2 linked regions of the Arabidopsis thaliana genome follow. The protein of the gene in region 2 interacts with the protein of the main gene of each other region in a pairwise test. Each region holds a gene or a part of one and is shown on either strand. Other genes may lie near its edges. The genes, in order: ATN1 and AT5G17410.

Evidence for each region.
Region 1: the proteins of AT5G17410 (region 2) and ATN1 interact in a two-hybrid assay, tested with the Arabidopsis thaliana proteins (one large-scale study listed by BioGRID).

What each region holds. Positions count from the first base shown.
Region 1 is NC_003074.8:10,209,818-10,214,631, forward strand, and holds ATN1 (Protein kinase superfamily protein), read right to left. Parts: upstream 3,277-4,814; 5' UTR 2,691-3,276; coding exon 2,560-2,690; intron 2,238-2,559; coding exon 2,105-2,237; intron 2,014-2,104; coding exon 1,818-2,013; intron 1,745-1,817; coding exon 1,620-1,744; intron 1,537-1,619; coding exon 1,378-1,536; intron 1,107-1,377; coding exon 780-1,106; 3' UTR 600-779; downstream 1-599. Other genes in the region: AT3G27550 (RNA-binding CRS1 / YhbY (CRM) domain protein), read right to left, coding at 1-161, 294-382; AT3G27570 (Sucrase/ferredoxin-like family protein), read right to left, coding at 4,459-4,774.
Region 2 is NC_003076.8:5,728,863-5,736,733, forward strand, and holds AT5G17410 (Spc97 / Spc98 family of spindle pole body (SBP) component), read left to right. Parts: upstream 1-1,747; 5' UTR 1,748-1,788; coding exon 1,789-1,872; intron 1,873-1,987; coding exon 1,988-2,046; intron 2,047-2,161; coding exon 2,162-2,210; intron 2,211-2,513; coding exon 2,514-2,648; intron 2,649-3,081; coding exon 3,082-3,213; intron 3,214-3,751; coding exon 3,752-3,835; intron 3,836-3,912; coding exon 3,913-4,011; intron 4,012-4,110; coding exon 4,111-4,202; intron 4,203-4,484; coding exon 4,485-4,557; intron 4,558-4,631; coding exon 4,632-4,784; intron 4,785-4,872; coding exon 4,873-4,992; intron 4,993-5,078; coding exon 5,079-5,132; intron 5,133-5,276; coding exon 5,277-5,360; intron 5,361-5,476; coding exon 5,477-5,551; intron 5,552-5,637; coding exon 5,638-5,748; intron 5,749-5,981; coding exon 5,982-6,107; intron 6,108-6,218; coding exon 6,219-6,326; exon of another isoform or gene 6,327-6,737; intron 6,738-6,791; coding exon 6,792-6,854; intron 6,855-6,930; coding exon 6,931-7,005; and 6 more. Other genes in the region: ER-ANT1 (endoplasmic reticulum-adenine nucleotide transporter 1), read right to left, coding at 153-437, 520-891, 979-1,242. UniProt on the Arabidopsis thaliana protein: Gamma-tubulin complex is necessary for microtubule nucleation at the microtubule organizing centers (MTOCs). Required for the positioning of the gamma-tubulin-containing complex on pre-existing microtubules and for the proper organization of cortical arrays.

The sequences.
Region 1 (4,814 bases), on a different chromosome or scaffold from region 2:
TTCTACTCTCAACTTTGCTCCTCATACTCCTTCCTCTCGATGTTGACATACCTCGAGACCATCCTTTAAACACTTGATTCATCAACGGCTGAAACGAATTCGAATTACCTTCACTTGAGTTACCAATGCTCGTAACCGGATTCGATGACGAAACCAGATTCCTTCAAGATCAAAATCGGATAATAAAGTTTTAAGCTTTGAGGAATTAAACGAATCTGGGAGATGGGTATTGGATAAATCTCAATAATCAGAGAGAAATCAGAATCAGAAATGGAGTTAGAATCTGAAGTTACCTAACACAGGAATCGGATTGGAGGAGAGAAAATAAAGACCATTTACAAGTCCTCCAGCAGTGTCTCGAGAGACTCCTAGAGACAAACATTTCGCTTCTGCAAACGAAGTGGCAAATCTTTCGAACAAGAGAGATCTTCTCAAGGGTTTCAGGGTTTTAGAAGACAATCCAATAAAATTGTAATATATATGCTTAACCTCTAGAGATTGAACATCAAAGTCGTTGTAGTATAGTGGTAAGTATTCCCGCCTGTCACGCGGGTGACCCGGGTTCGATCCCCGGCAACGGCGTAGTTTTTAATTTAACTCTTTTTCGACATTTATGCAAAAACGTAAACATTATTAATGTTTCAGGCTCAATATTTTTTATACACGAACAATTTCTTGTGACTGTGATCTAAATTTCTAATCTTAATACATTATACTTTTTTCCATCATAAACACTTTCCTCTCGTTTTCTTTACAGATTACACAACGAAATACATCATCTATGAGCAGCAGGAGAAGAAGCTTCCTTTTGTTTGTTTCTCCGATGAATCAGCAGTGTTAACGGTCTGACGAGAAACGTCTCCGTCTCTGACAGACATCAGAGAGCAAGTTCCGGGAGATTCCGGTGATAAAACTATGTTTTCTGATGAGAAGACTCGTCGATTCGGTGGAGGAATGATCTGTGGTGCCGAAACAGTGGTGAGGTAACGGAGGAGCATTTGAATTATCTCTGTGAAATTTGGCCGTTCGTTAGGATCTTCTTTCCAGCATGAAGTTACAATCATCTCTAAGTCTCCTGGTAAATCCTCTGCACTTGGCCTCAAGTTCTATCATAAAAACAAACACAAATTAGTCACAATGCCGGTTTCATTACTTTGAATTCATCAATTTGGTAACCAAGAAATGACAAATTTTGATACACGAATCCAAGGATCTTCCAAATAAGTAAAGATCAAATGCAGAGAGGCCACAGCAGAGATACAAGGGAGTTCAATCTAAGTTTCGGTTTGGTTTTTCGTGTCGATGATGAGTTCGTCTATTCGGTCTTAGTTTGTAATTCAGTTTTGCTTCAGAACCGATTGAGAGATGAATTATTACCTTGAATGCAGCAGCATATGCTGCTTGTAGATTTGACATGCCTTCAAATGGTAACTTGTTGAGAATAAGTTCCCACAAGACAATGGCAAAGCTGTAAGCATCTACTTTATGATTATAGTGTTTCTTCTCTCCTTGCCTTAACGTAACCGTACTGTAGAGCTGTATCATTCATTAACCAAGATGTCCGATAAGACAACCGCGAAAAGAAAAGAAAAATCCCGGGTTAGTAGTAATATAGTTACCTCGGGGGCCATCCATCGGTATGTACCAGTCTCTGCGGTCATCATCTCGGTTAATGATTCTTCTCTAGCTAAACCGAAATCAGCGAGTTTCACTGTCTTATGATCCGCTGATAAGATCAAATTCTCTGCAGATGCAATAAGATCATAAGCTTTCCATACATACTTAGAAGTCACGGATTTAGATTTCTTTCCATTTACCTGGTTTAAGATCGCGGTGAATGATACCGTGGGAATGTAAACATTCCATTGCACGAGCAATGTCAAGAGCAAAACCAACAGCCAAACGAATGTCTAAACGCTTTGGCCGTAAGCTGACTAGATATTTACGCAATGTACCGCCTAGTAGAAGCTCAGTAACTATAACCATCATGGGTTCTTTGCACGCTCCAATGAACTATACAAATTACCAAACGTTGTTGATTACAACCCAATACTCTCTGATTAGCCAAATGAACAGAGTTGGTGGATAGAAAAAATTGAAAAACCTTGACTAAATTCTTGTGCTGGACTTTAGACAACATAGCAATCTCTCTCGCAAACCGGTTATCTCGTTTAGCAATCTCTTCAGGGGACTCTCCTCTTTTAATAATCTTAATCGCCACTGTTTGGTTTCTATACCTAAACAAAACAAAAAACACATTTTCAATCCATCAAACAACAATCTTCAAGCATCTCCAGAAACAGATAAGCTTCAATAAATACTAGAAAGAAAGATTAAACCAATTAGCCTAATAAGTAACTGAACCAGACAATAAAAGATTCTCTTGTGCTTCATATACGCAAAGAGTCAAACTTTTTTCAAGACTAAGTTCTTTTTTTTCAAACTTAAACAAAGATTTGAAATTTCTGTAGCAAGCAATGATTATAGATAAAAAGAGACAACTTTTAACTTTTGATTCTTAGTATATATGGATGATAAAGATTGTAAGTCAAAGCTTACTTTCCCTCATAAACTTTGGCATGAGCACCTTCACCGATCTTAGGACCAACAAAGAGATGACGAGGATCAACAAGCCATTTAGGATCCAATTCAAACTCTTCGTTCGAGTAAAACCCACTTGCAGATCCCATTTTCCCACAACAACCCCAGAACAAAAATCACAAAAACCCTAGTTGGCTAAAGAGAGAAAGAGAGAGATATGTCAAAGCTGGGCCCTTTTTGATTGATTAATCATTCTGTTTGGTTTTGGAATTGAGAAACTATACAACAATCAGATAGATAAAGAAACAAAAAAGATGCTTTTTTTTTTGGTGGAATATAAAGAGAGAAAATTATCAAAGGATTCCCCGAACACAGAATAAAGAAAGAAACACGACAATCAAAATCCTAATTTCGTCAACTACATAAAGAAAACAAAAACATTGAACGGCAAAGATGGGAATTTGAGAGAAGAATGGGAAGAAGAACTGAAGTTGACACTGGAACTGATGGAGAAATGGTCAAAATTTTGATGATTCGTGTTGGTTTGGTTAATGATTATTTTTTTTGAAGTTTCTTATTTTAGGGGTTTTGAGAGAGAAGGAAAAAAAGGAGTAAAGAAATCGAAAGTTGTTTGCTTTTTCCGCGTAGGCGTCAGTGAGGGGTGAGGTGACCAGAAATCTCCTCTATCTCTTAAGAAAAAACACTTACGGGTCTTTTTCATCCTTTTTTTTAGTGTCTTTCTTCTTCTTAAAAATACAATCATAATTCAAAACTATTTGTAATCTATTTTGTATTATTGAGAAATAATAGTACATATTGAACTAAGTGGGTGGTTTAAGAATTAAGATCGATTTCTAGAAGAAGACTAGAAGCCATTGATATAATGAACATATGAATAGTGAAGCAACAACTAAAATAAGACCAAAAACTGAAATGTGAATAGAAAAATCTCGTCGGTGAAAAAGAATGAGGTAGGTGGGATCCATTTACCTAGCTTACGACTGTCCTTGTGTGTGTACCTTCGCAGATATCTATTTTTCATGTTTTCAAACCCATTTTTATACTCTTTTTATATTAATCAATAAAATTATTTTGTCGATTATGAATTACTCATTGATCTTTTTTTTGGTCCTTTGCTTATAATTTTGTTGAATGGTAACATTGTCCCATAATCAAAATCAAGCTTGAAACTAAACCAAATTGTGTCGTTTGACCCAAATAATATATGGTTTTATTATATATTTCCAGTTTCTACTTTCGTTAACGGATGTTATAAGTTTCTTTAAAGTATTATGATGATATGTTTATTTTGGTATGGTCAACAAATTTCTCATGTTTTCAAATATTAGTTAATATTTAATTTATGTTTTAAATGGTCACATACAAAGTTGATATTTAAAATGTCTACAATTTGAAAGCTGATTAATAAAATCGTTAGAGGTGATAATGGACGTTAGAGGTTCCATTAACGACTGATAAAGACATGTTTATTTTGACTTAATCAACGAATTCTCATGTCTCAAAAGTTAGTTCATGTTTTAAACGACCACTCGGGAAATTAAATGACATTTTTTTGCTTAACTCCTAACTGTGACTTTTGTATTGCCTCAACGCGTGGGCCAGTATAACTAAAATAAGTAGCTCCCTCACCTGCTAATTTCATATACGTATACTCAAAACTAGAGAAGATTGATATATTCCAATGACAACATAATAAGATAAACCAAACTAAACCGAGTCAAAAGCAAGATTACATCCCATTCCTGCATTGCCCATACCGAAACCAAATGATGGTTATATAGTTCCAAAAGATTATTACCTCTCCATGTTTTCTTTTCTTCCTTTACTTCTATAATATGGCTACCAAAAATAAAGTTTCTTCTTAAAAGTGTAAAAAGAGGAGGGTGGTTCAGGTTCTTAACCTGACCTTCTGTAAATGCTGTAAGCCACGGCAACGGTTGCGACAGCTGAAACTACTGCTGCTCCCAAGAGAACCTCTTCTTTCCCCATCGATTTCAACCAGTTTAGCTTCATGCATCCTTCTTTCTTGACTGGCTCTGCAGCTTGTTCTTGGCAACATGAAACTCCGTTTGCACCTTGGCAACAACCTCCTGTGAACCCTTTCTGCTCCACAGGTTCGCGTTCTTCCACCATTACACTGTTTCCGTTTGGGATTTTATGCTCATCCTCTTTCTCAGCTTCCTCACCCTCGGGTCTTAGTCTCATCTGGCCTCTGAAATAGAAATTATTTTCGTTAAACAATGTTGGTCAAT
Region 2 (7,871 bases):
TCCCTATCTTCTGCTGGTTCAATCGGTTAATGATTCCGAGATTCTGTTAATTAACACAATACATTGGAAAGCAAGTGAGACTTCTTGGTGTTTACTAACCTTCTCTTTTTGAGCTCAGCTTTCATTGTCATCGTTTCGGGTTTGGTCCAAAACTACTGAACCCAATGCTTATAAGCAATCTGGTGAAGCTGATCATATCCCGCAAGCACTCCTGCTCCTGCTACTCCAAGAAGCATGTTCGCAGTAACTCCTCTATATAGCGCATAGAACCCTTCCGACTTCAATATCTCTCTTAAGGCATGAATGGTGTTCCGGTATTTAACAGGTTGTCCTGATGTAAGCATCATTCTCCTCCTAAGTGTGTCAAAAGGGTAAGCAATGACGCCTGCAGAGGTAGTAATACTCCAACCCAATAGAAAACTAGCCAAGAAGTTTCCCTGTCACGGAATCAAAGAACCATTTTTAGCTATTTTCTGCTATAGATTAAGAAATAATAACGGCATACATAGATGACATTACCTCTAAGGAACCGACTAACACAATGGGTTTGATGGTGTCGTACATCCCAAAATACATTCCTCGGTAAAGAGTGATTCCCACTATTGACACACCAAATCCACGGTAAAGACCTTTAATACCGTCACTTGACAAAGTTTTACGATACACATCGATCATCCCTTTAAACTGTCTCTTGCCATTAACAGAACATTCCTTTGCATCAGTGCCTAAACGGGTCCGCGCATAATCCAAATGGTACAGAAACAAGGAAGTTGTTGCTCCAGCAGCACTTCCCGAAGCTACATTTCCAGCAAACCACTTCAAGTAACCATCTTTCTCTTTCGAACATCCAAGAAGGTTCTTGAAGTAACCTTTAAATGCAAAGTTGGAAGCCTAAAAGCAATTAAATTTAGTGACAATAAGAATCTAACACAAACCTCAGCACGCTGATCTAAAGTAAGGGTTCTTGGAATGTAGTACCTGTGTAGGGAAATATCGTATGACATTGGCTTGGTTTCCTCTCCAAAAGGACAAAACACCTTCTTCTCTATAGATTCTGGTAAAGCAATTACCCAAACCAGTGTAAGGTCTTATGAGATGTCCAGTCTTTATCATCTCCCCTTGATTCTGCAGTAAAAGCTTCACCCTTTCGATTGGAGCAGCTGCAGATTTGGCAACAATGGCTGCAGCACCACCCATCACAAAATCAGCAGAGAATCTCTCGGATTTTCCGATCAAAGCCATCCTCTTTTCCCTCACCTAATTCTATACCAATAAATATAGAGATGTTATGGGCAAGAGTTTCTTCTGGGTTCTAGAAATATCAAATCCTAAAGCTAAAAAGGAACAAAATTTGATAATAAAAGGAAAGGTTTTGAAGTGAAAAACCTGGAGATTGCTAATTGATTCTCCGCCGCAGAGAGAAGAACTCGGCGGCGAAAGATTGATTTCCAGGTCGAGGAGGAGAAGAAGAGGAGGCGATTTCGTTATTTCGTTTTGAGAAGCCAATAAAATAGAAAAGAGATAATCATTTTCTGTGAATTTCAAAGCTGGAGGTGGAGGACAGGGCAGGAGCAATGGCTGGTTTTTTCTTTCTTTACTTAAAAAAATGGTTTTGTCCTTTTTTAATTTCGAATTTGAAACCAGGATCTGGAAATTTCTGGTTCAATTAAAACCGGACATTTTAAGGAAAACCGGAGATGGTTCGGTATATGGTGACTGTCTGACTGATCTGTGTCTTCTTTTTCATAAAGGTTTAAACTTTTAGTTCCAGAGACTGGGAGCGAAGCAATGGAATCAATGACGCCAATCTCGTGCCCTACGACTCCTCGTTGGAACCAAGACAGACCATTTCTCACTGGTCGCTTCCATCAGGTGCTCGATCTTCAGATGTGCTTGATTTTAGTTCTCTAATTCGTTCAAATTCTATTTAATTGTGAACATTGGTAACTTCTGAGAAAAAGTAGTTTTGACAATGGGTTTATCTCAGGAAACGAGGGCAAGCTCCAAGTTTGCTGATTCTAAGAGGTTTACTTTAGACTCGTCTAGGTATTTTGAAATTTTATACTAAAAATTAGTAATACATCTCTGTTTTAACCTCCCAAAGTCTGTTCCTTTTTCATCTTATTCTAAAGAGTCATTGACCTTTATATTTTGCTTTCAGCAGTTCTGGAGTAGAGCAGGCAATTGGCTGCTATGACACACCGGTTCAGGTTTGTGTTATTTTACAAAGCAAGTCTGTCCCTTTTTTTCTTGGCTTCCACTTATTCTGTGAGATTGTTATTATGTAACCTTGAAACTAGTGTTGGGGTCCTTAAAGCTTGGGTTTGAGTTGTGTAGTTTTTACAAGTTGGCATCATTGTAGGTGAAGTTGGTTTCTCGTTTTCGTGGCATAGACTAGGATAATTGACCTGAGCTAAACAATTGTGGAACTTCCTAGCCTAGGTTTAGAATTGGTGTCACCTCTTTTGTTATGTCCATTTCAGTAACTGTTTTTTATTCCTTTTGGCATGCAGGAGCTTATCGTCATTGATGATCTCTTATCTGCGTTGGTTGGAATTGAAGGGAGATATATTTCAATTAAAAGATTCCATGGGAAGGAGGATAGTATAGCTTTCCAAGTTGATCCATCAATGGATTTGGCACTACAGGTAAGTAGTACTCAACACAATAACTTTTGGTTCCTATCCCAAACATTTTTATCATGATGGTCTACAGTAGTCAACTGCAAAAAATCTGTGATTTCTAACCATGCTTGATCTGTTCTTTCTTAGAGCTACCGGAATTAGTGCATATGTATCATGTATGTACAAAGTCTTTCACATATTGAGACTGTTACAGTGATGTTTGCAAAGTGTATATTTATGTTTATGAAACTTGATGCATTTCATTGGTGTTCTGACTTCTTGAAAGTTCAATTATCTCCGAAGTCCAATAAAATGGACACATGCATTACTATGTTATGTCTAGGATGGTTCTCTCTTTTGAATAGGATTTTTAGAGATGTTATAACGGATTAACATTGTAATTCTTTATTTAATTGGCTCTTCTCATATATATTGACCGTTGCAAATAATTTTGCAGGAATTGGCGAAAAGAATATTTCCTTTATGTGAATATTATCTGCTGATTGACCAATTTGTGGAGTCAAGCTCGCAGTTCAAGAACGGGCTAGTTAACCATGCATTCGCGGCTGCACTCAGGGCACTCCTCCTTGTATGTGATATAGGTTGCTAGCTTTGTGGAAATTGTGATCCATTGTTTGTTGAGTTATTTTTCGTTCCCTTTCTGTTACAGATGGGGGATTTTGCGAACTGGATATGGATTTTTTTAACTAATAGTCAAGTTTGGGGATTTACTCAGTAAACTAAAAATATGAACTTGGAAAGCTCATTTTAGAATGCTCTTAGTTTGTTTATTGGGTTTCTTTCTTGTCCACTGAATTGGTGTTTTTTTATCACATTTCTGAGTGTGTGTATATGCATATGTATGAATATCTAAGATGACACATATAGCTCTTACTGTCTTCTTTGTTCCAAGTTCTTACTGTCTCTCTAATCCCTCTCTTACTATTGCCGCATTGAATAAACTGATAGTCTGATTCTTTTCTTTCCATTTCACATCTTGAGTTTCGTGTCTAACACATGTCATGCATTTTTTGGACTGAGGATATCATTTTATGTTAGCTTTGAGGTAATTTGACAACATTCTTTGCTATTGTTACACTAGTATTAACCATCCTCTCTTTTACCAGGATTATCAAGCCATGGTGGCACAATTGGAACATCAATTTCGACTTGGAAGACTTTCTATCCAAGGATTATGGTTTTACTGTCAGGTCTGTCTTTCTTCAAATAATCCAAGCTACAAGTTACGTAAACATTATGCTGATCGATTGTTTTTCGTATCTCTCAGCCCATGATGGGATCCATGCGCGCATTGGCTGCAGTAATTCAGCAGGCTTCAACGAAGCAGTTTGTGGGTTCTGGTGTTCTTAATCTCTTGCAAAGTCAGGTAGATTCCTGCTTTGGTCATTAAAAGTTTTTGGATTTTTTTGGTACTAGAATTAGCTTTTTTATTAAATGTCCTAATCTTGAAGACTATCATGCCTAGGCTAAAGCGATGGCTGGTGATAATTCAGTGAGGTCATTGTTAGAGAAAATGACGGAGTGTGCAAGCAACGCATACCTAAGCATATTGGAAAGGTTGATTACCATGCCTCTTTCTTTCTTGCTCGTAACTAGACTCCCATAAAAAAAACATTGTGCTACAATCTCTGCCCTTTCCCTTTTGTTATTGCTTGGAATGCTCAGATAAATCTAAGTCCAACCTGTGACTATGTTTTTCCTTTGTTTGGATGGAGTGATTAGCGAACATGTTTGTTATCTTTTGGTTTGGCAGATCTGTACATGGTTACCCTATTTGCTAGATCGCTTATATTATTATTCTTTGATGTGTCAACTAACTTTAAATAGTGTTTAATTAAGGTGGGTCTATGAAGGGATCATTGATGATCCGTATGGGGAATTTTTCATTGCCGAGAACAGGTCTCTCAAAAAGGTACTTCGATTGCTCAGCTCGTCTGCACTATTGTTAATTGCTTGATCTAACAATGTCAATTTTTTTTTGTACAGGAGAGCCTCAGTCAGGACTCTACAGCTAAATATTGGAGCCAAAGATACAGCCTTAAGGATACTATTCCTGGCTTCCTAGCAAACATTGCTGCAACAATATTGACCACAGGGAAATATCTAAACGTTATGAGAGAATGTGGGCACAATGTTCAGGTATGATTGTGAATGAATTTCCTGTTTATTAATACAATTAACAGTGTTTGTGACACTGGACCCGACATTGGCTGATTTTTTTTAACAGGTTCCCATATCAGAGAGATCTAAGTTAACAATATTTGGGTCAAATCATCATTATCTTGAATGCATAAAGGCTGCTCACGAATTTGCCAGTATAGAGCTTGTGAATCTCATCAAGGATAAGGTAATACTTATTTTGTTTTATGATGACTGCTTCTTTGATGTCGTTCCTCGTCAATACACCTCTCTGACCATCAGTATATGATTCAGTATGACCTTGTTGGAAGGCTTCGATCTATAAAGCACTATCTTCTTCTCGACCAGGTATGCTGGTTCTGTTCATGAATAACCAGTTATCTTCAGAGTTCTTCAGAATTTCCTAGGCACAAATTTATCAATGTGAAAAGTCTGTTGTTGAGTTGTTTTCTTCAGTCATTGATTTTGGTATAACAATGTAATGAACTACAGGGTGATTTCTTGGTTCATTTTATGGACATTGCTCGAGAGGAGCTCAACAAAAAAGTGCATGAAATATCTGTTGAAAAGTTGCAGGTACTTTTTTCCCCTTTAGAGCATGATTCAAAATATTAGACAAAGCTTCTTACCATTATTAAATCGTTATGGCCTCTACTTGTTTGCTGGAATCTAAATGGATGTGTATTATTTAGTCTTTGCTAGATCTTGCTCTACGTACCACAGCGGCTGCAGCAGATCCTCGTCACGAAGACTTGACTTGTTGTGTGGTGAGCAGTTAATTTGTCTTTTCCTGGATGTGATGAATTTACAGAGTTTGTACATTATATGTTCTCACTTTGTATTCATATCTTAGGATCGAGCTTCATTGCTTACGACTTTGGGAATGCACAAGGACACTGATAGCAATAGTATTGAGGACCCAATGAGCATCACTGGTCTAGAGACATTTTCCTTGAGCTACAAGGTCTGCTCCTTTCTTGCCTTGTCTGCAACTACCTGTTTGTATCTGGATTCGAACTATTTTGTTCGTCGAGATATATATAAGTAATAACACAGCTTAATGGCTATTAATGGTTGTTATATATAACTACTAATGCATTTCTAGAGTCATCATTCATACTTATATAAGTAATCGACAAATGCATATTCGATTGGCTACTCAATTGTTTGATTGTTGGTTGTGGCTTTGTGTTTCAGGTTCAATGGCCACTATCTATTGTCATATCAAAGAAAGCATTGTCAAAGTACCAGTTAATTTTCCGCTTTCTTTTTCATTGCAAACATGTGGAACGCCAGCTTTGTGGTGCTTGGCAGATACATCAAGTAAGGACTGATATAATATTGTGTAGCTTGTAATTTGTTTCAGTTTTGGTTTCTTCTAAAACCATTTTAATCATTTTGCTTCGCTAACAAACTGCTGTGAAAATTCTACAGGGGATTCGGTCTATGAACTCTAAGGGTACAGCAATTCTTAGATCATCGCTTCTCTGCCGTAGCATGCTTAAATTCATCAGTAGCCTTCTACATTATCTTACATTCGAGGCAAGTCTGAATGTTCTTTTTGTTTTGTTTTGTTTGTTTTTTAAAACATTTTTTTTTGCTAATAGAATGGAATCTGAATATTTTTTTGTTTTTTAAAGATTCTGATTGTCTATTCATAGATCCTGTTTTCCATTGTGATTTTGCGGTGTAAGTCTCTGGAAAACTAACTTCTAGAATTGCTGACATACACTCTGTATATTGAATCCAGATATCTCTGTAGTCGTAAAAACCATACTTACAAATGTAGGCACTTCTTGCAACTGTGTTTTTCGAGAAATACATTCTTGAAAACGTGATTCTGGAGAAATAAGTACACTATCAATGAACAGAGGAGAGAAATCACACCAGAAGTATATAAAGACATAATTCTTTATGAGATGATTTGGTGTTTATTTTAGCAACTATTGCCTCTCTAAGTTTTTCTAATGTTGTTTTTGCTTGTCTTTATGTGGGATGTCTCTTCAGGTTCTCGAACCAAATTGGCATGTAATGCACGATAGACTACAATCCACAAGGAGTGTAGATGAGGTAAGTGTAGAGACCTGCTTTGTTTTGGTTTGCAGGGAAAACATTCTTCATTGAACAATGTGCCATCATCTTGCAGGTGATACAACATCACGACTTTTTTCTTGATAAATGTCTGAGAGGATGCTTGCTTCTTTTACCTGACGTCCTTAAGGTTTGTCGCTGTTCCACTAAATGTTATGTTTTCTCAGGACAGATGTAACAGTGTGATGTGCTTCTCTTTCGTGCAACAAGAGCAAAAATTCTGAACGCACTAATAATAGTGTAATGTTTATCAATATTTTACACTCATATTTACTGATGGTGCAGAAAATGGAGAAGTTGAAATCAGTGTGTCTGCAATATGCTGCAGCCACACAGTGGTTGATATCATCGTCTATCGACATCAATAGCCAGTCTCATCCACAGAAGACAATGATAAGAGACACAACCGTTACAGAGTCCATATTGTAAGTAGTAACAAGGAATTGTTTTTCAAACTAATGGCTACACTATCTCTACAAAAGCCGTTGCTGTTAGAATTTTTGAACTTCATTATCACGGTATTGTTCTAATATGTCTGTTACGTGTTCTACCAGCAATTTCGAAAGGGAGTTCAACTCGGAGTTGCAGAGCTTAGGACCAGTCTTGAGCAAAGGCTCCCAGGCTGAGCCATACTTGACTCATCTCTCCCAGTGGATCCTTGGTGTTTCGAAAGAATAAGAGGTGAGACTTTAACTAAACAAACTCAGGCAATTCAATTTGTTTTTTAATGTTATCAAATGATATTCAGCTTGAGAAGTTGTTATGAGATGTGTGCGTGTGTTTAGGCTTTTGTTGTCGTTTCTTTATTTTGTTTGTGAACTCCACGATATAAGAACAAGTCTCAGGCTCTCTGTTAAAAATTTGCATTCAAGATTTGTGGGTTTTCACTGCAACTACATGTCTCTTGAGGGAAGTATCTGTGAATCTTTTACTGTGTAACTAAAAAGTAGTTTTGTTCAAATTTTCTTACAATGCATTACTCGCTCACAATAAACC